Linked DNA regions of Ovis aries. The protein of the gene in region 1 interacts with the protein of each later gene in a pairwise test. Links are inferred from orthologs where the notes say so. Each region holds a gene or a part of one and is shown on either strand. Other genes may lie near its edges.

The links.
Region 2: the proteins of EML1 (region 1) and ISG20L2 interact in binary tests that used the Homo sapiens proteins (3 or more experiments, as listed by UniProt). The two-hybrid records come from large-scale screens. The link is inferred for Ovis aries from reciprocal best matches to the Homo sapiens genes EML1 and ISG20L2.

What each region holds. Positions count from the first base shown.
Region 1 is NC_056071.1:62,417,787-62,428,906, forward strand, and holds the start of EML1 (echinoderm microtubule-associated protein-like 1), read left to right. Parts: upstream 1-6,099; 5' UTR 6,100-6,166; coding exon 6,167-6,233; intron 6,234-11,120. UniProt on the Homo sapiens protein: Modulates the assembly and organization of the microtubule cytoskeleton, and probably plays a role in regulating the orientation of the mitotic spindle and the orientation of the plane of cell division.
Region 2 is NC_056054.1:106,682,514-106,693,633, forward strand, and holds ISG20L2 (interferon-stimulated 20 kDa exonuclease-like 2), read right to left. Parts: upstream 7,095-11,120; 5' UTR 6,870-7,094; coding exon 6,862-6,869; intron 6,474-6,861; exon of another isoform or gene 6,367-6,473; coding exon 5,628-6,366; intron 3,818-5,627; coding exon 3,617-3,817; intron 2,919-3,616; coding exon 2,805-2,918; 3' UTR 1,955-2,804; downstream 1-1,954. Other genes in the region: METTL25B (methyltransferase-like protein 25B), read left to right, coding at 7,788-7,898, 10,396-10,520, 10,672-10,864. UniProt on the Homo sapiens protein: 3'-> 5'-exoribonuclease involved in ribosome biogenesis in the processing of the 12S pre-rRNA. Displays a strong specificity for a 3'-end containing a free hydroxyl group.

The DNA.
Region 1 (11,120 bases):
CAGGGACTTGGCTCAGAAGGGGGAGGAAGGGCACAATTCAACCCAAACCACTAACTGAAAGGCAACTTCTCTTTGCTCTTAAAATAAAACCCGAAGTCCCGTGTGTACAAGCAGCCTTGACTCCCACCCAGCTCCCCAGAGGAGCCTTACTTGCCTGAAGCAGCGCCCACTGGCTCTCTGCCCACTGTTGCTGCGTCTCCGTTCACTCCTCAGTCCAGTTCGAACCCTCCAGAGTCATCTGAAACCCCTCCTTCTGGTTTTGCTTCATCACACTCACCACAGTTTGCACTGATGTATTTATTTGTATGAGTATTCTATGTCACCTACAGGGAGAGATACCCTTTATCCCAGCTCAGCACACAGACAGACAGTTCAGGTAAAGATCAGCGCTTGAGGGGGAAACGCTTGTTCTTACTATGTTCAGAGCACCCTGATATTTCCGATTTTGTTTACTTTTTTTCTCATAGTAAAATATACACAACATAAAATTTGCCATTTTAAGCATTTTGAAGTCCACAGTCTGGTGGCATTCAGTACACTCGCCCTATTGGACAACCATCACCACCAGCCATCTCCGGAACTTTGTCATTATCCCAAATGAAACTCTGTTTCCATTAAATACCACCCCCCCCCCCCCCCCCCCCCCCCCCCCCCCCCCCCGCTCAGTCCCCACACCCACCATTCTATTGATACTTTTGGGCTCTATGAATTTGACTCCTCTGGGGACCTCATATAGGACTTTCCAGATGGTGTTAGTGGTAAAGAACCTGCCCGCCAACGCAGTAGACACAGGAGATGTGGGTTGATCCCTGGGTCGGCAAGGTCCCCTGGAGGGCCGCATGGCAACCCACTCCAGGACTCTTGCCTGGAGAATCCCATGCACAGAGGAGCCTGGCAGGCTGCAGGCCATAGGGTCACAAAGAGTCGGACGCCACTGAAGCGACTTAGCACTCACACAAGCAGGGACCTCATGTAAGTGGAATCATCCCGCATTTGTGACTGGCTTTTTGTGACTGGCTTATTTGACTCAGCATAATGTCCTTGAGATTCATCTGTGTGGTAGCACGTGTCAGAGTTTCCTTTCTTTCAAGAGTACATCATATTCCATTGTATGGATAGACCACATTTTATCTCTCCATTGATCCGTGGACAATGGGTTGCTTCCCCATTTTGCCCGCTGTGAATGATGCTTCTGTAAACACGGGTGTACAGACATCTATTTGAGACTCTGCTTTCAGTTTCTTTGGGTATACACTCAGAATGGAATTTTCTGCTTCTCTTTTCTTTCTTTTTTTTTTTTTTAATTGTAGTTGATTCTGTTTCAAAGTGCTGATGTGACTTTAAATTAACTTTGTAACACTTTCAGTTTAGAGTGCACTGTGGTTTTGGTTTGTTTTTTTTTTTTTTTCGCTGTATCCCCAACGCCAAGCATGGTGTCTAGAACCGTAGAACTATTTTCAGAGGAATGTTGAATTAAACTATAGGTGCACAAGGCTCTCCATTTTTGGGTAATTTTTCTTTATTACTTTTCCATGAATAAAGGCTACAGAGCTCCCATTTTTCTTTCTTTCTTCACATGTTGTACAAATGCTGCTATTAATGTCATGGAATGCTATGGTTATATTGTCCTAGAGAGCATGCATCATTTATTACAACAACAATATGTTTTGGACTCGAGCCATAAATTATCTCAAAATGACGTGGAATAACAGTCTGTTAAAATGTTTGGGGGCAAAATCTCACATTATTAATTAAGTTTTCAGAGACTTTTTTTCTTGAACTTTCTCTTTTTTTTTTCCTCCACAGATCTTTTTAAAATGCTGTGTAGATTATACTTAGTTGATTGAACATGCATGTCCTTGTGATTATACTAAAATTTGCTTTTGTTAGAGTAAGCTTTTACCATTGTGGGGAAAAACACAGCAGTTGAATACTCTAGGTTAAGAGGGTGATAATGACCTTTATCATCTCAGAGCAGTGGGCTGTGTTCTTGTTATTTGTCATTTTGTTCCATTGGAAGTAAAATCCTCTAAGAAAATCTCCAGCTCAATTTTTCTCCTGTCCCACTTCTGAATTTTCTTTACTCCCCAACCTTTCTGCTTTGGGGCCACCAGATATCATATCTTTCAGATTATATATCAGGAATGCTAACCATCTTAAAGAGAATCATCTTTTAATAATTTATTCATGATTATCACTCCCTTTCCAGAGAATGCCACACATTAGTTTCTAAACACTAATTATCCAAAGTATCCTAATGTATAAAATCTCAAAGTGGAGTGGCAACAGTATAAAGGTCAGACTGGAAGGGGAGAAAGATGGGAAAAGAGAAAACAGAGAAGCGCCAAGTTCAAATGTGCACCTGTGTTAAGTCCCAGCCTTCAGAAGCCCCTCTCTGGGAGGCTTAAGAGGGAGGGGATGTATAAAGTTACGACTGATTTGCATTGCTGTATGGGAGAAGCCAACACAACTGTCAAGCAACTTTCCTCCAACTAAAAAATAAATTCAAAAAAGCCTCAACACCTGCCTTTGGGATGCATAGGGTCCGCCCATACTGGGTTGGGGTAGGGGCTTCATGTCACTCTTCTGCCACCTCTGCCCTCTATATTTGGCCTCTATTTCTTTTCTCTGTCCAAGTTCTGAAACGTGCATCTATAAGCATTCTCTTGTTCTTTTTTTGAGCGGTCCATCCTAAAGGAGGTCAGTCCTGGGTGTTCATTGGAAGGACTGATGCTGAAGCTGAAGCTCCAGTACTTTGGCCACCTCATGCGAAGAGTTGACTCATTGGAAAAGACCCTGATGCTGGGAGGGATTGGGGGCAGGAGGAGAACGGGATGACCCAGGATGAGATGGCTGGATGGCATCACTGACTCAATGGACGTGAGTCTGAGTGAACTCCGGGAGTTGGTGATGGACAGGGAGGCCTGGCGTGCTGCAATTCATGGGGTCGCAAAGAGTCGGACATGACTGAGCAACTGAACTGAACTGAACAATTTACACTGATCAAAAGAATTTACATATTTTGCATCGTCTGAAGTGGAAAATTAAAGGCAACATTGATCATTTTTTCTCTCTCTTGAAATTTTAGCCCTTTTTTTTTTTGACTGTACTGTGTACCTTGCAGGATCTTGGTTCCCAGCCAGGAATCAAACCCATGCCCCCTGCAGTGGATACGTGGAGTCTCAGCCACTGAGCCACCAGGGAAGTCTCTATGTGCTCTCCTTGTGATGTCTAGCAGCTTGGCTCTGGTCCCCACTGCTTCACCAAGGTGCTCCAAGTCACCCGGGGGCCCTCTACCACCAGATCGAAGCCCTTTGCCCAGGCTCATCCCCCTTGACTTGTCCCGCAGAGAACCTCGGGAAAGGCCCACCTCTGTGCACCTTTCTGTGCTCTTTGCTTAATGAGACAGCCCACTAGGCTGATGTCCGGCCTCTCAGCTCCTTCGGAATTTCCTTCTCTCCTCCCTTTCCAAGGCTCTGTCCAGCTCCCTTCCCACCCTCCATCCTCTCCTTTAGAGTGTTCCTGCTACAGCTTCTTTGCAGACAATTCCCACCTCTCATTCTTTCCCTGTCCAGCTGGTCTGCATCCCCAGTTGCTACAGGGCATTTCTAGTGGGAGGTCTGCTGTCTTCTGGTGCTTGGCCTTCCTGCCTCTCCAGCGGTATCGTCCTAGAGCAGGTTCCCTCCGGCCCATCTCTCAGCTTCTTTCTTCCCTCTCACTGTCTGGGCTCTGAGTGCTCCTTTCCAGAGAGCTGCAGACACCCTGGGGTGCTCTAGCTCCAGGCCCTGGCCCCTGTGGTCTGATTCACACTCAGTTCAGTTCAATCGCTCAGTTGTGTCCGACTCTTTGCGACCCCACGGACTGCAGCGGGCCAGGCTTCCCTGTCCATCACCAACTCCTGGAGTTTGCTCACACTCATGTCCATCGAGTCAGTGATGCCATCCAGCCATCTCATCCTCTGTCGTCCCCTTCTCTTCCTGCCCCCAATCCCTCCCAGCATCAGGGTCTTTTCCAATGAGTCAGCTCTTCACATCAGGTGGCCAAAGTATTGGAGTTGCAGCTTCAGCATCAGGCTCATCTCCAACACTGCTGGTGTCAGCCACCTGCTGGCATGCAAGCCTCCTGCCTCCCTCTGTCTCCTGCCGGGTCTGGCTCAGGCTGCCCTGCTGGCTCTCTCTTAGCTCAGGCCACTCTCATTTCCCCACTGTCTGAATACAGACTGTCCGCTCACAGCAGGTCAGCCCAAGGGCCTGTCAGCAGCCCCTGCTGCTTGCTTCCTCCACAGTCATTAACCCTGTCCTTCCAACCCCAGGTCACAGTTAAACCCACAGCACCTGTGGCCCTTGACGGTCAGGCCACCACCCCACCCCATTCCACACCCATCCCAGTGTACTTTTCCTCTTAGCAATCCGTGCGGTCTTCTGTTCTTGGTCTTCTTGACCAGGACGGGGCTTCAACCTTTCCCGTCTATCCACAGCATCTAATGCCAGTCCTGCTAACCCATGTGCCAGGCACAGAGCTGCAGGGTCCCATCCGTGACCCTGCCCTCTGCTTTTGCAAAGAGAGGTCCCCATCCACCTCTGAACCCCAGCAAGGCCCCCCAGGTTTTCCTAATAGTAACTTTCTACTCAGTTCTCATTTCACCTACTTGTGTTCAACCCTGAGCTTCCCTGGAGTCTCAGAGAGTAAAGAATCCGCCTGCAATGCGCAAGAGCTGGGTTCGATCCCTGGGTTGGGAAGATTCCCCTGGAGGAGGGCATGACAGCCCACTCCAGTATTCTTGCCTGGAGAAGCCCATGGACAGAAGAGCCTGGCGGCCTACAGTCCTGGGGTCGCAAAGACTCGGACACGATTGAGCGACCAAGCACAGCACAGAGCACAGGAGCTAATGCCTACAACTGGAAACCAGTCAGAATTGAACATGTAAGTGAATTGTAACTACTGTGTAACCAGGAGCAAAAATGTTACACCGTCTATTCTGGAAAAAGCCAGTTCAGTTCAATCCAGTTCAGTCGCTCAGTCGAGTCCGACTCTCTGCGACCCCATGAATGGCAGCGCACCAGGCCTCCCGGACTAAGGCCAACTCCTGGACTAAGTCAGAGGATCGTCAAACTCGCACTCTCTCTCACTTGTCACGTGCGAGCATCTTCACTTCAGTCCAGGTCAGTGCCTGGCACTATGCTCAGGGTTAGGGTTAGGGTTATCCACATGACAACCCCGTGGATTTGCGCGCTTCCTTCTTTCTGTGGTACTTTGTCCCGCCTCCCTGTCTCTCTGAGATAGAGTACGTAGAGATTTCCGTGGGTCCTGTAGCAAGTTAACAAGTGTCTTATGTGACAAATCTCCCCGCCACCCCAGGGGCTGATCAGGGGTGGGAGGGACCCCGGCAGATGTTTTAGCTCCCCTTAAAGACCCCGGCCTTTCCAGCCTGACATCTGGAGGGCCCCTTCTGGACGTGGGAAGCCGCATCGGTTCGAGCCGAGTCACCAGCCCGGCGCCGATTCTCACTCGAGGCAGGGCCTGGCCGCGGCGGAAGAACGCGCGGAGAGAGGGGCGCGCCTGGCAGGACGTGGCCAGAAGTGGAGCTGCTCCGACGTGGACACCCGGCCGAGATGGGCCCGCGAGTTGTCCATGTTTGGTCCTGGAGCCGCCCGCGGGGCGCGCAGGGACAACGCCCCCGGGGGAGCGCGGGCGCCGGCGGCCGCGGGAGGGGCTGCCCCGGCCGGGGCCGGGGGTGGGGTGCGGGTGCGACTCCCCCGCTCCCCGCGCGGCCCCTCCCGCGCCGCCGCCGCCGCTTCGCCTTTGTCCCAGCGCGTCCCCCCGCAACCCCGGAGCCGGCGGCCGCGCGGGGAGGCGGGGCCCGGCCGCGGCACCCCCCCGCCCCGGCCGCGCGCCGCCCTCGGCTCCCCGGCGCCCCAGCCCCGCCCCGGCCCCGCCCGGCCACGTCCCCCCGCCGAGGCCGCCCCCTGGCGGGCGGAGCGGGCGCCCGGCTCGCGCGGCCGCGGCGGCGGGCCCGGGGTTGCCATGGTAACCGGCGGCGGCCGCCGCCACGGCAGGGCCGGCCCCAGCGCCAGCGCCGGCCGCGGCTCGGCGCGGCTCAGTGTGGGGGTGAGCGGGCGGCGGCGCGGCCGGGCCGGGGGAGCGGGCACTGCCCGGCGGCCTCAGCATGGAGGACGGCTTCTCGAGCTACAGCAGCCTGTACGACACGTCCTCGCTGCTCCAGTTCTGCAACGGTGAGGAGGGGCGGCGGCCGGGGCGGGCCGGGGGGCCGCGGCGCGGAGCGGGCCGAGGGGCGAGGCCGGGGCGGCCGGGGAGGCCGCGCAAAGTTGCTGCGGAGGGGCGCGCGGTTCCCGCCGCCGCGGGCGCATTGTGCTGGGCTGCCGAGCCCCCGGGCCGCCCGCGCCTCGCCGCGCCCCCGCCCCCGCCCCCGCCCCCGCCCCGGCGCGGCTCGCGGCTCCCGGCTCCCGGCTCCCGCTCCGGGCTCCGGCCAGTGCGCGCGGGGAGCGGCCGGTCCCGGGGAGATCCGCGCGGGCGCACCGGCCGGGCAGCGCGTGAGGAGGCCCGGGCGCCCCGGGGCTCCGCGGGGACGTGTTGCTTTCTGCTTCCAAACTCACATCTGTTTGGAAATGTCTGGATGAAGAACTCGGAAAACACATCGCTTAATAACAAAACGCTCCTTCGAGGATGTGCGCAGTGTTTGCTGCGCATGGACTCAGATCCATTCCGTTCTACTTTGATGAAACCATCAACACTTTCATGCAATCTAGAGCTGTTTAAATGGACAGGCAGAGGGAACCGGGCTTCAAAGTGTTTCGACTGTTTACGGGGTGATACTTTTGGGTTTTGTTTGTTTGTTTGGTTACAGGGAGGAAATATTAATAGCTATCAATATGGCATCTTTAAAAATTATATAAAATCTTACGTTTCAAAGATGTTAGTTTCACTAGTAGGGTTGAAGATTGTCACAGCAGACTGCATGGTTTATCAGAACATTCACGCACAAAAGTTACCCATGCAATTTTTTATATGTTGGATTTATTGCTTTTTTAGAGGGTCCCAGAAACTTGTTAAAGAAAAAAAATCGTGTATTTTCTAGAATGTGCCTCTAGTACAGGTGGAATCATTTGGAATTCTAGACGCTTTGACGACTTGAGCAATTTCTTTTGCAGTTGTATTTGTGATTTAGGCGAATATCTCTAGTTATTCGACACCTGTTTGCAAATAGCAGGTATTAGCCTTGGCAGTTAAGATCACCGGGTTGATCTATAATGATATTTTAACCTCTGGCGAAATTTATCATCTTTTTCATGGGAGAGTATATAGTCTTATAGTTTTGGCAGCTTGTAACTTTTATGTTAATCACATGTGAGCCTTCATTACCTTGTAATGGCCTCTGCAGCAGAAAGGATGAAAGTTGTTGCTCTCCAACTTTACCAAGAGTTTCAGAGCTGAAGGAGGATAGAATGTATTTGGTGCCCTTCTGGCCACTGGAATTTCTTATATGTAGTTGAGAGTCATGGAAACGGTTTTATCCTCCACAACATTAAGTAGATATTTGAGCAGTTGTTTAGGGGCTGGTCATATTGCTTCTAAATAGCAGTTCAGTCATAAAGTTGTGTATCTATTCATGAACATTCTGGATTTCTGCCTTTTCTTTTAAATGTGTGTTAGAGATATTGGTAAGGAATTTTACTGGTAAGTGTCTAGAAGAAAGTAAAAACCAGGTTTTATATTGTATGGCTAACAGTTTAAAGAAAAATGACTTTATTATTTAAGCATAGTTGATTTACAATGTGTTAAATTCTGCTGTACAGCAAAATGGCCCAGTTATACATGTATATCTATTCTTTTTTTATATTCTCTTCCTTTATGGTTTTTCTGAAGTGCACCTGAGCTACACAGTAGAACTTTTGTTGCTTATCCACCCTATATATAATAGGTTACATCTGCTAATCCCAAACTTGCAATCCATCCATTCCCTACCCATGTCCCCGTAGGAAAAAAATGACTTTAAAATAGCTTAGAAACAAGCAATAAGATCAATTCAAAGTACAACTGAATCGTAACAGTTGAATTACTTTTCTTTACAAAGCTCTTAGCTCTGTGCTTTTTTTTTTTTTTTTTTTGGTTAGCTTATGAATAAAGTTTAAAGTGAGAATGGTCTCTGAGGTAGAAGTGAGTGTCACCCTGGTGATGTTTTAGGCAGCAGATGTTTGGATGAGAAATTGCTCATTTTAAGAGGCCTTTGCTAAGTGAAAATATAAATGAGTACAACCCAATTAATGACTATGATGATTCAATGAAAGCAGTGGATCACAGGAACACCATTTCACCAAGCATTACATTAAACATTTGGGTATTTTATTGGCAACAGTGACAAAAAATTCTTTTTGAATTAGAGATTTCCATGACAATGGCAGGACTACGCCACTCAGTAGATGAACCCATCCACGTTCATACGTTGAGCACACTCCATGCTTTCGATGGTGACAGGAACCAAAAAGTCATAGTTGTTTATTAGCTTCAGAAAATGCATCCCATACTTGTTATTTGGATGACTGCCGCAGTTAACGTCTTCCTAGTGTGATCAAGATAGAAGTTAGTCGTAAATGTGAACAGGAAGGAAGAGAAAACGTTGTCCTAATGAGTGAAATCTCTAGTTTCCACTGTATTTTTCCCCTTACTGTCTCTCGTACTTAATTTGTAGTGGATATTAAATGTCAGCATAGGCAGTATCTAGCCTCATGAAAAGACTATCCATGCTCCTTTTAGATACTGGCTGTCTTATTTCACTAGGAAATGTGTGCAGTGTTTTTTTCTCCAAACTGTTTAGGACTCTGTAAAGTGAGCTAGAAATCACAAACTTCTGTCCGCCTAAGAAAAAACTACAACAGTTGCAAAGTAGACTAAAGCTGTCATTTATAAGCCAATTTCCTGTTTGGGAAATACTTGCCATCTTTCACTCCATTTCTTTCTTCAAACCCTTCCTTTTGCGTAGGAGGAAACTGAGTCTCAAAGAGATTTTTCTAACTTTATAAGGCCACACAACTAGTAAGGCTTGGATACCAGTATGAATTTTTTTGGTTTGTTTTAATAACAGCTATTGAGAGAGATAATTCACTTTCTATAAAAATTCTCCCTTTTTAAAGTATACAGTTAAGTGGCTGTTAGTATATTCACAGAACTGTGCATGTGTCAACAGTATCTAATTTTAGAACATTTTCATCACCACCCAAGAAACCCCAGCACCCACTAGGTTGTATTCCCCATTGCCCTGGCCCTTTGGCCATACCAACCTGTCTCTCTGTCACTATGGATTCTGAGTATTCAGTATAAGTGGCATCGTGCGTGTGGCCTTTCATCTGGCTGTTTTCACTTAGCGTAATGATTGAAGGTCATCCACGCTGTCGCATGTGCCAGAACGCCATTCCTTTTATGGCCAAATAATATTCTGTTACACGGGTAGACCCTGCTTTATTTCTCTGTTCACCAGTAGACAGGCATTTGGGTTGTTTCCGCTTTTTGACTGCCATAAATAATCCTGTCAGGAACATTCATATCCAGGTTTCGTGTAAACTTATGTTTTCATTTCTGTTTGGTTGGTACCTAAAAGTAGGGCTTCCCTGTTGGCTCAGATGGTGAAGAATCTGCCTTCAGTGCGTGAGACCCAGGTTCAGTCCCTGGGTCGGGAAGATTCCCTGGAAAAGGGAATGACAACCAATTCGAGTCTTCTTCCCTGGAGAATTCCACCAACAGAGGAGCCTGGCAGGCTCCAGTCCATGGGGTCGAAAAGAGTTGCACGTGACTGAGTGACTGATGCACTTTCACACTTACCTAGGAATAGAATTGCTGAGGCATATGGTAGCTGTGGGTTTAACATTTTTGAGGAACTAGTCTGAATTTTTTGAAGTCTAAACATCAAGCAGTCCATCCTAAAGGAAATCAGTCCTGGATATTCATTGGAAGGACTGATGTTGAAGCTGAAACTCCAATACTTTGGCCACCTGATGCGAAGAACTGACTCCTTGGAAAAGACTCTGATGCTGGGAAAGATTGAAGGTGGGAGGAGAAGGGGACAACAGAGGATGAGATGGTTGGATGGCATCACCGACTCAATGGACATGAGTTTGAGCAAGCTCCAGGAGTTGGTGATGGACAGGGAGGCCTGTGCAGTCCTTGGGGTCGCAAAGAGTTGGACAAGGATTGAGCGACTGAACTGAACTGAAACATTAAGCTCTTTTTATTATGCCTTGTTGGTATGAGACTGGGGAGTCAAGAAACTGGATGAAAGATGGAAAGAAGTAGGTAGGAAGAACGTAACTGTTGCTATTTCATTTCTGTGAGTCACTTTGGATTCTTCCATCAATCACAGTTCTTCAAAACAAGTCAACGCACACGTTGGCTTAGTTGCCGTAGGTTACAAGAATTTCAGAGTTTGAGGGGACCTGAATTTGAGGGGGTGATCTCATCTCATAATTTTCTTTCTTAAGCCTCTGAATGTTTCGTCAAAGTACAGCTCACCCAGGAATGCAAATGTCAGGCAGATAAATCCCAGGGAGCATCCCCCGCTGAACTCAGAGAGAGGGCAGTGTCTCTGATCCTCCTTGCCTGTCCTGTCATCCCCTGATTCCATCCACCCAGCCCTCCAGGGCTTGAGATCTCTGTTCCAGAGGTTATTCAACCCATGTTAGAGCAGTTCCAAAGAACTGAAAACTCACTATCTCTGCATGCAGTCCATTCCCTCTTTGTGTGATTCAGACCGTCAGTTGCTAAATGCAGTCAAAATTTGGCCCAAGTTCTGCCCCTTGGGTCCATAGGAAGTAGGTTTAATCTCTTCTCCATGTACAGGTCATCCCATGTTTGAAGACAGTCCTTCTCAGGTCTGATTCCAGCTAAACATTACCTTTAAAAACAGAAATCCTCACAAGACAGTTTTAGGCCCTTCATCATCCTGGTTTGCCCAGTCTGTACTTCTTTTCTTTTGTCTGTATGCCTCTTTGGGCTTCCCTTGTGGCTCAGCTGGTAAAGAATCCGCCTGCAGTGCTGGAGACCTGGGATCGATCCCTGGGTTGGGAAGATCCCCTGGAGAAGGGAAAGGCTCCACCCACTCCAGTATTCTG
Region 2 (11,120 bases), on another chromosome or scaffold:
GTAGGATATACTTCTCACATTCTTTTGCCCTTTATCATTCTCACCTGCAGAAGGGGGTTCAGCATTAGAAAATATCAAGACATGGAAACAGTATTATCGGAAGAACATTTGTTTTTTTGTGCATATGCTCTAAAGGGCCTCAAACTTGAGGCAAACCAGGACTTGCTGACTGGTATTTAGGTAGAAATCTGCAATGGGGCTTATCTGTCATCAACTGGATGAAGCCTGCAAACAAAGGGGCAGAGAAAGAAGGGGATTAAAGTACAGGGATCCCCAGGCTCCCTGAAGGGTGAGCTGGGCTCTGACCAGGAAGTATCATACGAGAAAAGAGCAAGAAAATGGTTGCAAGGTCCTCTGGTCTCCAGATTCTTTTTGGTGAGCAAAAGTGAGACTTAGCCCTTCCCAATGCTGGACTGAGGGTGTCTGAGTTGGGGGGTGAAGTAGAGCATAAAAGCCAACTGCAGCTAGAGATTATCATATTAAGTAAGTCAGTAAGAGAAAGACAAATACCATATGATATCACTTATATGTGGAATCTAGAATATGATGCAAATGAACTTATCTGTGAAACAGAAACAGACTCACAGAGGACAGACGTGTGGCTGCCAAGGAGGGAGGCGGGGAGGGATGGATCGGGAGTGCGGGGTTAGCAGCTGTAAACCATTAGATGCAGAGTGAACAAGGTCCTACTGTGGAGCATAGGGAACTACATTCAACATCGTATGATAAATCACAATGGAAAAATAACATGGAAAAGACTATATGATTGTTACATATAACTGAGTCACTTTGTTGTACATCAGAAACAATATTGTAAATCAACAGTGTACTTCATAAAATAAATTACTAAGCCAGGTACCCTAAAACCTGAACTCAAAGGAGAATTTTCCACTTAGCTTCTAGTTTCCTGATTGCAATGCAATTAAGACTCACATTCATTTCAATTAAGACTTGTAACCCCAGTTTTTGGTGTGGCCTTCCTATGTTAGTCCCACTTAGAGGTGTGTAAGAACGCCTAGCGCTTCTTTGTGAAGTGTCATGGACATTGCTTATGTTGGGTTCAACAGGAACCAACTTGCTCAGAGCTCAACAGCTGCCTGTTCAAGCAGATGCCGTGGTGCAGGACACCGCAGCAAGACCACGTCCGAGCTCTCATTTGGCTGCAGCAAATTCCCTTCTATAGGCAGCCACAACTGTGACTCTGGCCTCTGGAGCCAAAATAGCCACTCGAGAGGGCACGAGTCTCGGTGTGTACACGGAGTCTGCATTCTCTCAAGACAGAGCGCAGAGACACAGATGTGTATAACGGACTTTTGGACTCAGAGGGAGAGGGAGAGGGTGGGATGATTTGGGAGAATGCCATTCTAACATGTATACTATCATGTGAATTGAATCGCCAGTCTATGTCTGACGCAGGATGCAGCATGCTTGGGGCTGGTGCATGGGGATGACCCAGAAAGATGTTATGGGGAGGGAGGTGGGAGGGGGGTTCATGTTTGGGAATGCATGTAAGAATTAAAGATTTTAAAATTTAAAATAAAAAAAATAAAAAAAAAAAAAAAAAAAAAAGACAGAGCGCAGACAGTGATTGCAGCCACAGGGTCAGACCTGTGACTCACTTTCCCAACATCAGGGTGTGTACCACCAAGGAAGAGCTGGCAGGAGCAACCAGGCTGGCGTCACTGAGCACCCACTCTCTCCCGCTCCATCCCTCCCACGTGCCCACTCTGAGTCACTCTCCAGGTCACATACCCTGTGTGAGGGTGTTCGCGCAGCTTCAAGTGTCATTTTTGGTGTGCTTGTTGATTTGTGGTGGGGCGAGAAGGCAACAGAGCACACGGGCCACAGACAAAGGCTTCGTCGGCGCTTCTTGATGACTTCCAGCAAACCAGGGTCCATTCAGCGTCATCCACAGAGACTCTAGCCCCCCTAACAGAATTACAGCGCTAAGGAGTCTGTGACAAAGCTATTTAATGTGAAGTTATAAGGAAAACACCACACAATTGTTTTTCCTTTATAAAAAATTTATCAAGGGAATAATTTGCATTTTCAGAGGCTTGGTTTAGCAAAGTAAAAGACTAAAACTCATCGAAACATTTAAAAATTCTTCTTTAACCTAGTAAGTGGGGTTTAAATTAAATAAATTCTCTATTACTTTAGGAGACTGCTTTCCTAAATCAGAAAAATTGATTTCCAAGTCACTCTCTTACCTGTCCTGCCCATAACCCTAAGGAGAACTAAACCTCACCAGGAATGGCTTCTCCGGAATTCAAGGCGGAAAGAACAGGTGATACCCCAACACAAACCATATGTAGACTCTGAGCAGAAAGCAGAGTCTGAGAGATGCATTGTGATTGTACAAGTTATCATCCAATAGGATACTTCTGAGAGTGAAAGAAGGTGCTGTTAATTGCTTGAAAGGAAAGGCATGATGGGACACATAGCCACCCTAGTGATAAGGCAGTTTGAGAAAAGACATTTCCCGGTTTGCTGTGCCCTTTGAAAGTCAAAAGACTTTCCCAGAAGCAAAGCACCTTGGGACACACGGTTAGCACCATTTAAGAGGTAAACGGCCTAAGGGTGGGTTCTGACATGGAGGCGTCCTCCTTCCAAGTAACAGTTAACAAGACACACAACACCTGAAGTGGACCTCAATGGATGTTAAGTCTGGGGTGTGGCCTCCCTTTCCCCAAACCCCCTAGCTGCCAAAGGCATGGAGCTGGTGGAGCGGTCCGTGGCAGACTGCCCCGTCCTGGGTGTGGTGCTGCTTCCGCCTGCCTACATCGCCGGTGTCCCCGCTGGCGCTAGTCTTTAGGGGGATTCTGGGCCAGGTGCTGCTCCCATTCAACTTCAACCAACTTGTACAGCTCCATGGTGGCCTGAGCATCTTCCACTGAGGAATGTCCACTTTTCCCAGCCTGAACAAGGGAGGAAGAAAAGAGCATGAGGCTACAAGAGACCGTTTCCTCCCTTCCCAACTGGTGCTCTCCAACCTCAATGATGCTGCTGCTTGTGCAGTTAGCGGGCTGCAAAGGCAGACCTCTGGTGGAGCCCCGCTCATCATCTGATTTCAGGGGTTCAACTCCTACACTATGGTCTGCCTCAGTCCTTTCTGTGGCAACAAGTACACACCATATTGTTCTACATTCTTCTGTAGAAGCAGAACAGACCAGATCACAGACAGACCTTCTGAGTCTTCCATCTTCCCTAGTTCTTTAACTAATGTATGACATGTGTCTATACCCTCATGACAGGCAGACCACCCCCTCTTCGACTGCCAAACATATGAAATACGTAAGAGGCCCCTGAAGCCACTTTATGGTCATTTAGGCCACCACAACTACCTGCTTCTCTCTTTTCTTACTTAGGGTTTTAGTCCCACTTTTAGGCTTTTTTCCTTTTCCAAGTACCCTGTGGAACACTCTGGGAGGTAGGAAACAAGAACTGTTATGCCTAAGTAGAGGGGGGCCTCTCTGCCCAAAGCTCTTCCCATCAGAGCACCTCCCCCTGGATCTCTCTGCAATCAGAGGAATCTGAGTGTCAGAGCCTGGAGAGAGGCAGCAGCCGGCCTTTCCCGTCCAAGCCAGAGGTCTGGCAGCTTTTGGGGAGACGCTACCTGGATGTCCCGGTTCAACAGCTTCTTGGTGAGACTCTTCAGAGACATGGTGGCATTCTCTGGGCAGTCAGCCTTACGGTTGAGGAGGGGGATATGAGAGGTGTCTCGGGTGAGGGACTTGGGATGAACGTACTGAAGGGCTTTGAAGTCATTGTGGATGGCATGCCCCACCACTATCTTCCCTGTGAGAATCTTCAAGATCTGAAACAGACACGGAAGAGGAGGTGGTGAGGAGCACGATCCACAGATGCAGCCTCTGCATTCTAAAAGCCCAACACGGCTCTAAGTCCTTCTAGGCTCTTTTCACCACTTGCTCACTTGCCTCATCCTTGAAATGCCTTCTCCCCCAAGTTTTCTTTCACCTGAAATCCATCTCCTCTCCCCGAGGTAAAAGTAGGCATTTTTCATGGTGTAACCGTTTGGACATACCTAGCCAGTGGTTCCTTATCGTCACATTAATTTCTACCTCAATGTGATGTTCATGTAATTACCTAGTTCAGTCCTGGCTTGATACTTGAAGTTCTTTAACCATAATTGTTACGTTGGCCTTAGATACAGGCTGGGACAAATACTGTAAAGATGGGCTCCAGGGAGGTAATGGAAGCCCCAAATTATATGCAAATTGATATGCATGTTTCTGTGTTTGTTTTCTGGGAGGGAATCTATGGCTTTCATCAGATTCTCAAAGGGCCTACAAGCTATAAAAAATTAAAAATTGGGAATTAAGAATTGGCAGTCCAGCGGTTAGGACTCAGCACTCTCACTGCCAGGGGGACCAGGTTTGATCCCCGGTTACAGAACAAAGATCTCACAAGCCTCGAGGTATGCCCCACCCCCTAAAAAAAGATAAAGACTCACTTCCAATGAGGACGATAAAGAATATGCCATGAACTCGGAGGGCCATTACCAAAATGGGGTTCCAAACAGACTGCGAAAGAGTTAACAGGCCTGAAATCAATGCCTGGCCTCCCAATGGGACCCTTTGGAAGGGTACAGACTCATCTGAATGTACCTTGGTCTCATACCCCAGCTTGGGCACTGATTCTTATGACGAAAACCAGATATAGTCTAATCAACTTGGTATTTAGTTGCCCCTACAGTTTGCTGACCACTAACACCTTTACTTTGCATTAATTTCAACACACAGCCTTCATTAAAGCTAAGTGGATGTGCTGTTTCAGAGCCACCTGATCTTCTGACTCTCCCGAGCCTTTGCTCAGCTATGCCCCTGAGGGTGCACAGGATGTTCTTCACTCTTCATTTTCTTTCTAAAATCTAGCTGTTCTACCTCTGATGAAATTCCTCCAAATGACTGCTCTGGCATATGAGAGATTACTGGAACAGTGTGTCTAGACAAGACAAAGAATGTAGAGCTGAAATGACAAAGTGGACCAAGGGTGCCCTCTGGAGGCCTTCCAAGACCAGCAGCTCCTTTCCCCTTCCCCTGTTCATTCAGCGTGCCTCCAGTTTCCAGCACAGAGCTTACAGTGGCTAGGACTGCTCAGTGAATGAGATGAGAACCCCAACATACCAGCCCTGTGTCTTTTACCCCCTTCATTGCAGGCTGCCTGTTCCAGTTATCCACCAACTTTCCACACTGCCACAGACCACTTCTTGCTTGGGAAGCGCCCTCCACCTCTCTGTTCTCAACCCTAGACCCACTTCTACAAGGTATTCTCAAGTTGAACCCTTTCCCCCTGGCATTCATGCCTGCTACTCTGTCCATCATGGGTTGCTGTTTTTCTAGCAGAGTCCCAACTATCCAGATGAGGATTCCACTTGGGATCTAAAACAGATCTAACACAGTTTATTACACCAGCTATTTTTAAGTTTCCAGGTTCTTACCACTCTTCATCCCCAAAGAAAAGCCTTCTTTATCTGCTACTCCATCCACTCCAACCCTCCCTCCACAATCCTTTGGTGCCTTCCCAGAGTGATATCCTTTGCTGAAAAATGATTTGGACTTCACCCTATCTGCTTCGCTGCTACCACCATCCCTCACGCCTCTTACCTGGTTCCGAGCAATCTTGAAGGGCGTAGCATTCACCATGTGCTGCTTCCGGATACCACTCCATCTGGTCCGGTAGTCCACAATGTGGCAAGGGGGCAGGATGTACTCATCATAAAGCACATCTCCGTCGTAGTTGACAATGCTACATCGAGCCAAGGAACTGACATGCCCCTTGGGTCCAGTACCCACCATCTCACAGTCAATTGCCACCATCTTCCCCGGTATCTTCTGGGATGCCCCAGAGTATTTATTCTCTGAATGTGTCTGGGTGGAGTTCTGTGGGCCATTCCTGGGTGGAGGATTCTTCTGGGAGCCCTTCTTCTGGGGGCGAGTTGGGTGGCTCTTAATCTTTGGTAGGGCGCTCTGGAATTCCCCCAGCAAATCCACTTTAGCCACAACAGAACCAACCTTCTGTGAAGGGGCAGGAGTCAGCCAAGGCACTGCAGCTTTCTTGTCCAGGGACTGCTCTGACCCACTGCTGGAGGCAGCTGTTGTCTTCTTTGGAAGGGGAGTGGCCTTCCAAGTGCCATCTACCCTGGGAGTTTCCCCTTTCTTTGAAGGTTCTGAGTGCAGCTTAGGCACCTTGCTAGGGGGCTGCTTCTTCTTATTGAGGAAGCCTTTCCGTTCCAAGAGTCGCCGCTTCTTGACAAATTTTCGGTGCTTGGCATTTCCCTCTAATGCCTTTTTGGGGGGAGGCTCGCCAAAATCCAGATTGAGGAGTAAGGTAGACATGATGACACTGGATGGTGAGAGAACAGTTGGGAAGAACAGCTTACAGATGAGAGGAAGATAGAAGACTCATCTGCTGAATCCCACAGACCAGCATTTGGAGGTTTGCAGCATACCCTAGGGAAGAAAACGATCCTGATAACGGAGCCCATAGCCTTGGGAATCAATAAGACCCATCTTTGCAGGACTTAAGAGAGGGGAAAGACATCAGAGTAACCTCTCAAATAATGTGATATGACGGAAGAAGAACTTCATTCTGAACCAGGAAGCCTGGATTCTAGAAAGCTCCACAATTCACCAGCTGGGTGAATTGGTGAATAGGAAGGCCAGGTCTCCTCTCTAGATCTCAGTCACATTTGTAAACTTATGGGGGTCGCAGGGCCAACTAGCTGAAACAGCGATCTACAACGCCAGAATAGGTGAACTCTATCATCTACCCATGGAGGGAACGTCTAGGTATGCTCAAAGGCAGTGACAGGTTTGGCAAAGCTGATCTCTGGATTACCCTAGCATCCTCACGCGGGTCTCACGAGTGGAGATACAAATTCAGGCACTCATCTCCCTCGTTTCCAGGTGGGGGAAATCTCCACATGCATCTCACTCAAGTCTTTGTGCCACGAAAGGACCTTTGACAACACACATTGGTAGGGGAAGGAACTGAGTCTAAGGAATAGGTGCCATGCACGCGGCGGAGCCAACCTCGCACGCTCTCTCACCTACCTCCTAGATGGGTCCGCTAAGACCGGAAGCGCCAAGAGCCGGATGCGGAAGTTGGCGCGCGTCGGCGATGCCCAGGCCGGCAGGCCCGCGGGTTGGAACGCGCTGGAGGCCGGCGCCCGCGTACCCGCACGGCCCCTGCCTCCGGGAGCGAGGCCAGGGATTCGGAGTGTGTGGGCAGCGGCAGCGGAGGCGGCGGCGGGGGCGGCGTGGGTGGGGGCGGGGGCGGGAGGCGCTCCCCGGCCCCTCTAGCCCCGTGGAGGTACAACTCGAAGGTGTGAGGAAGCCGCGACAAACGGGAACTGAAACGCGCGGGACAACCCGCGGCCTCACTTCCGGAGAGGAGAGAAGTGTACGGGAAGGGGCGGGATCTGGAGGCGGGACCTCGGACTTGGCCCGCCCCTATTGGTGAGCAGCGCACTGCGCGACGCCTCTGTGGCGTCACTGCGCTGGCACTCCCGCCCCGCTAGTCTCAGACGTAGACACCTTGGCGCTGTGGGGCGTCGCGACCTGTGACGTCAGGGGTGCGCCTGAAGTCTTCGTCCCGAGCCTGGAATCCCGGAAAGGCAGCATCCGGCACCAAATTCCGAACACTTTTTCTTCTGAGACCACCTGAAGTGCTGAGCCCAGCCCGGGTCCCACACCCGCGTGGTTCTCACCCTGGTCCTCTCCTCATTGCTTTCTCGCTTCCCGCGCCACCGTCTTGGCCCCGGAATGCCCGGGGTCTCCGCCCGGCGCCTCTCTCACGAAGAGAGGAGACAGCTAGCGGTGAACCTCACCCGGGTCGTGACGCTCTACCGTTCCATCCTGGACGCCTACATCATCGTGAGGCCACAGGGATGTGGGTGGGGTGCTCCTGCTTGTGTGATTGGCTACCTAGCCACGACTAGGGGAGAATCTGGAGAGTTAGCGTCTGATCTTTTTTTCTAATAGGTTTTTTTCAGTTTTTTGTCTGTACAAGAAAGGGTTAAAGCTGGGGCAAAAACCCCGATTCTTTTTTTTTTTTTCTGATGACCTAAATATTAATATTTCTAGCATCTAGGTTGTTTTTCTAATTCTCGAGTCCAGTAATGAAGCGCATGGACATTTGAGCCATGCTGCTGCGGCAATGTTGAACTTTCCTAGGAACATGTGAGGTGTTTTCAAGAACACACATGATCGTTCATTCAGGTTTTGAATAAATTCCTGGTTTTGCTGTGTAATGGACAATTCCAACTTTGAAGTCGACTGAGTCGGACTAGAGTCCCGCCTTCCCTATCGTGTTAACATTAGGCATAAAAATTCCTCCTAGCCCCAGATCCTCAGCTGTAAAATAGATCCCATTTTGAAGGATCATTGTGAAAAATAAATGAGATGATGTATAAATGCCACCAGCATCCACTGAATTATTCAATTCCCAAACCCAGAAGCCATCCTTGATTCAACCTCCAGAATAGATACCAAATTCACCCATGTGTCTCCATTGACACTGCTACCACCCTAGGCCAAGCCAACATCATCTCTCTTCTGGACTGCTTCCTAACTGATTTCTGTATTTGCTTCCTCCCTTCCATTCCCATTTCTTCACAAAACAGGCAGACTGTTCTTCTAAAAATGTAAATCTGATCGTGACATTTCTTGCTTCCTAGGTACTCTGGATTTCCCAGGTGGCGCTAGTAGTAAAGAATTCGTCTGCCAAAGCAGGAGACCCAAGAGTTGTGGGTTCAATTCCTAGGTTGACAAGATCCCCTGGAGTAGGAAATGGCAACCCACTCCAGTATTCTTGCCTGGATCCTAATTATAGGTAATGGTAGTCACCATTACCTATAAAACCCTACAAGCTCCCTTTAAAACCTGATCACATTTCATTCTCTCCCACATTCACTATACTACATCTACACTGGCTTGATCAGGGCCTTTGCACTTACTGATCTTCCTGGAATGTTTTTTTTCTCAACAGAAAGGCAATTGAGTAGGGTGGTTAACAGCAAAACTCTAGGGTTGAATTGGTTTCAGATTCCAGCTGTACTACTAACTAGCTTCTTGACCTGGACAGATTAATGAAATGCATTAACATATATAAAATGTTTCAGATAGTATCTGGCGTGTTAAAGTATTCTGTGGTTACTGCTACCTGAATTTTTAAAAGGGGAGATAGAACTGACATGTAACATTTTAGTTTCAGGTGTGTAACGTAATGATTCCTATTTGTAGATATTATGAAATAACTGTTGTTCAGTGGCGAGTTGTGTCTGACTCTGTGTGACCCCATGGACTGCAGCACATCAGGCTTCCTTGTCCACCACTATCTCCCAGAGTTTGTTCAAATTCATGTCCACTGAATCAGTGAGCTATCTAACCATCTCTTGCATCAGTTAATATCCCATTGCTGTAGTAATTTTTTTCTTATGATGAGAACTTTTAAGATCTACTCTCAGCAACTTTTAGACATACAATATAGTAGTATTTACAACAGTCACCATACTATACATCTCCATGACATTTACATTGTAACTGGAGGTTTGTACTTTTTGACCCTCCTCACCTATTTTATTTACCCCCACCCCTGCCTCTGGGCAACCAAAGCATGCAGTGTTTCACATGTGCTGTATTACTCTAAGAGTACACTCAAACTCTCCATTATGTTACTGTCTCATTAGTGTTTTGTCTATGTGGCACTTGATGTTACTTGAAATAATTTCTTTAAGTGTAAACTCTGCAAGAGCAGGGATCTTGTCTGTCTGTTTTGTTGCTTGTATCCCCTGAGCTTAGGATAGAACCTGATGCCTAAACAAAGCTCCAGAATTTGTGTTGAACAAATAAATGAATAAAAATACATTCTGGCGGGGAATCCCTGGTGGTCCAGTGGTTAGGACTTGGCGGTTTCACTGCAGAGAGCCCAGGTTCAGCCCCTGGTCAGGGAACTAGGATCCCACATGTCACATGTGATGACCAAAAATAAAAACCAACATTTTGGCATATATAATGTCTGGCATCTGTGGTGTCTGGCACATGTAACAGTAGGTTACTAGATGGTAACATACTGATAGTGTGTGTTAGTCACTGCTGTGTTAAGGAGGCAGGTGCAAAGCAACCACACACACCCTTCAGTTCAGTTGAGTGGCAGACACACATATAAATAAGGGGGACACTGCTAAAAGGAGAAATGTGTCCAGATTGCAATTTGGGCTCAGGAAGGAGGGGAAGGCTAGAGCAGACTTCAGAGAAGTAACTCCGATGAGGAGAGGTTCCTGCTAGTTGCAGCTGGTGGCCGTGTGTTGTGTGGGTAGGGAAGAATGGGAGGGGGAGTAGCCTGTTGATTGCTTCTCCCTTTCCCCTCCAGGAATTTTTCACAGACAACCTGTGGGGCACACTCCCTTGCTCATGGCAGGAAGCCCTGGATGGACTGAACCCGCCACAGCTGGCCACGCTGCTGCTGGGGATGCCCAGGGAAGGGGAAGTGGCCAGGTATGGGCAAGAGGGACCCTGTGCCGGGGGACTCGGAGCTGAGCCCTGCAGGGAGCCATCGCTCAGTCTCACGAGGGCTTCCTGGGTTGTAGGCTGGCACACTCAGGATGCAATGGGACTATTCACTGGGGGCCTGGGCGGGCTATCTCAGGTACAGGTCGGTGTGGCCACTCACCCTGCTGGCCCTGAAGTCCACAGCCTATGCCCTGGCCTTTACCCGGACGCCTGGGTTTCAGACCCCCTCAGAGTTCCTGGAGAATCCCAGCCAGAGTTCCCGACTGACAGCTCCATTCCGGAAACATGTCAGGCCCAAGAAGCAGCATGAGATTCGGAGGCTGGGAGAGGTGAGGAGATGGCTGGGGTTCAGGTAGTATCTGGGGGCCTTGGGGACTCCTTAAGCCTATGGGTTACAAAGGTTTGGGCACCTTTTATCACCTATAGGACCAGAGGCCCTGGAAGGTCCCTTCCTTGGCAGATGTACTATAATCCTATCTTCATCCTTTTGCTGGGTTGGTGGCAGCTATAGTTGAATCATTGTCTTATTCTTGTTCTGATAATCTTCACAATCTGCTGATGGCATCACCCAGGGCTCTTGTTCTG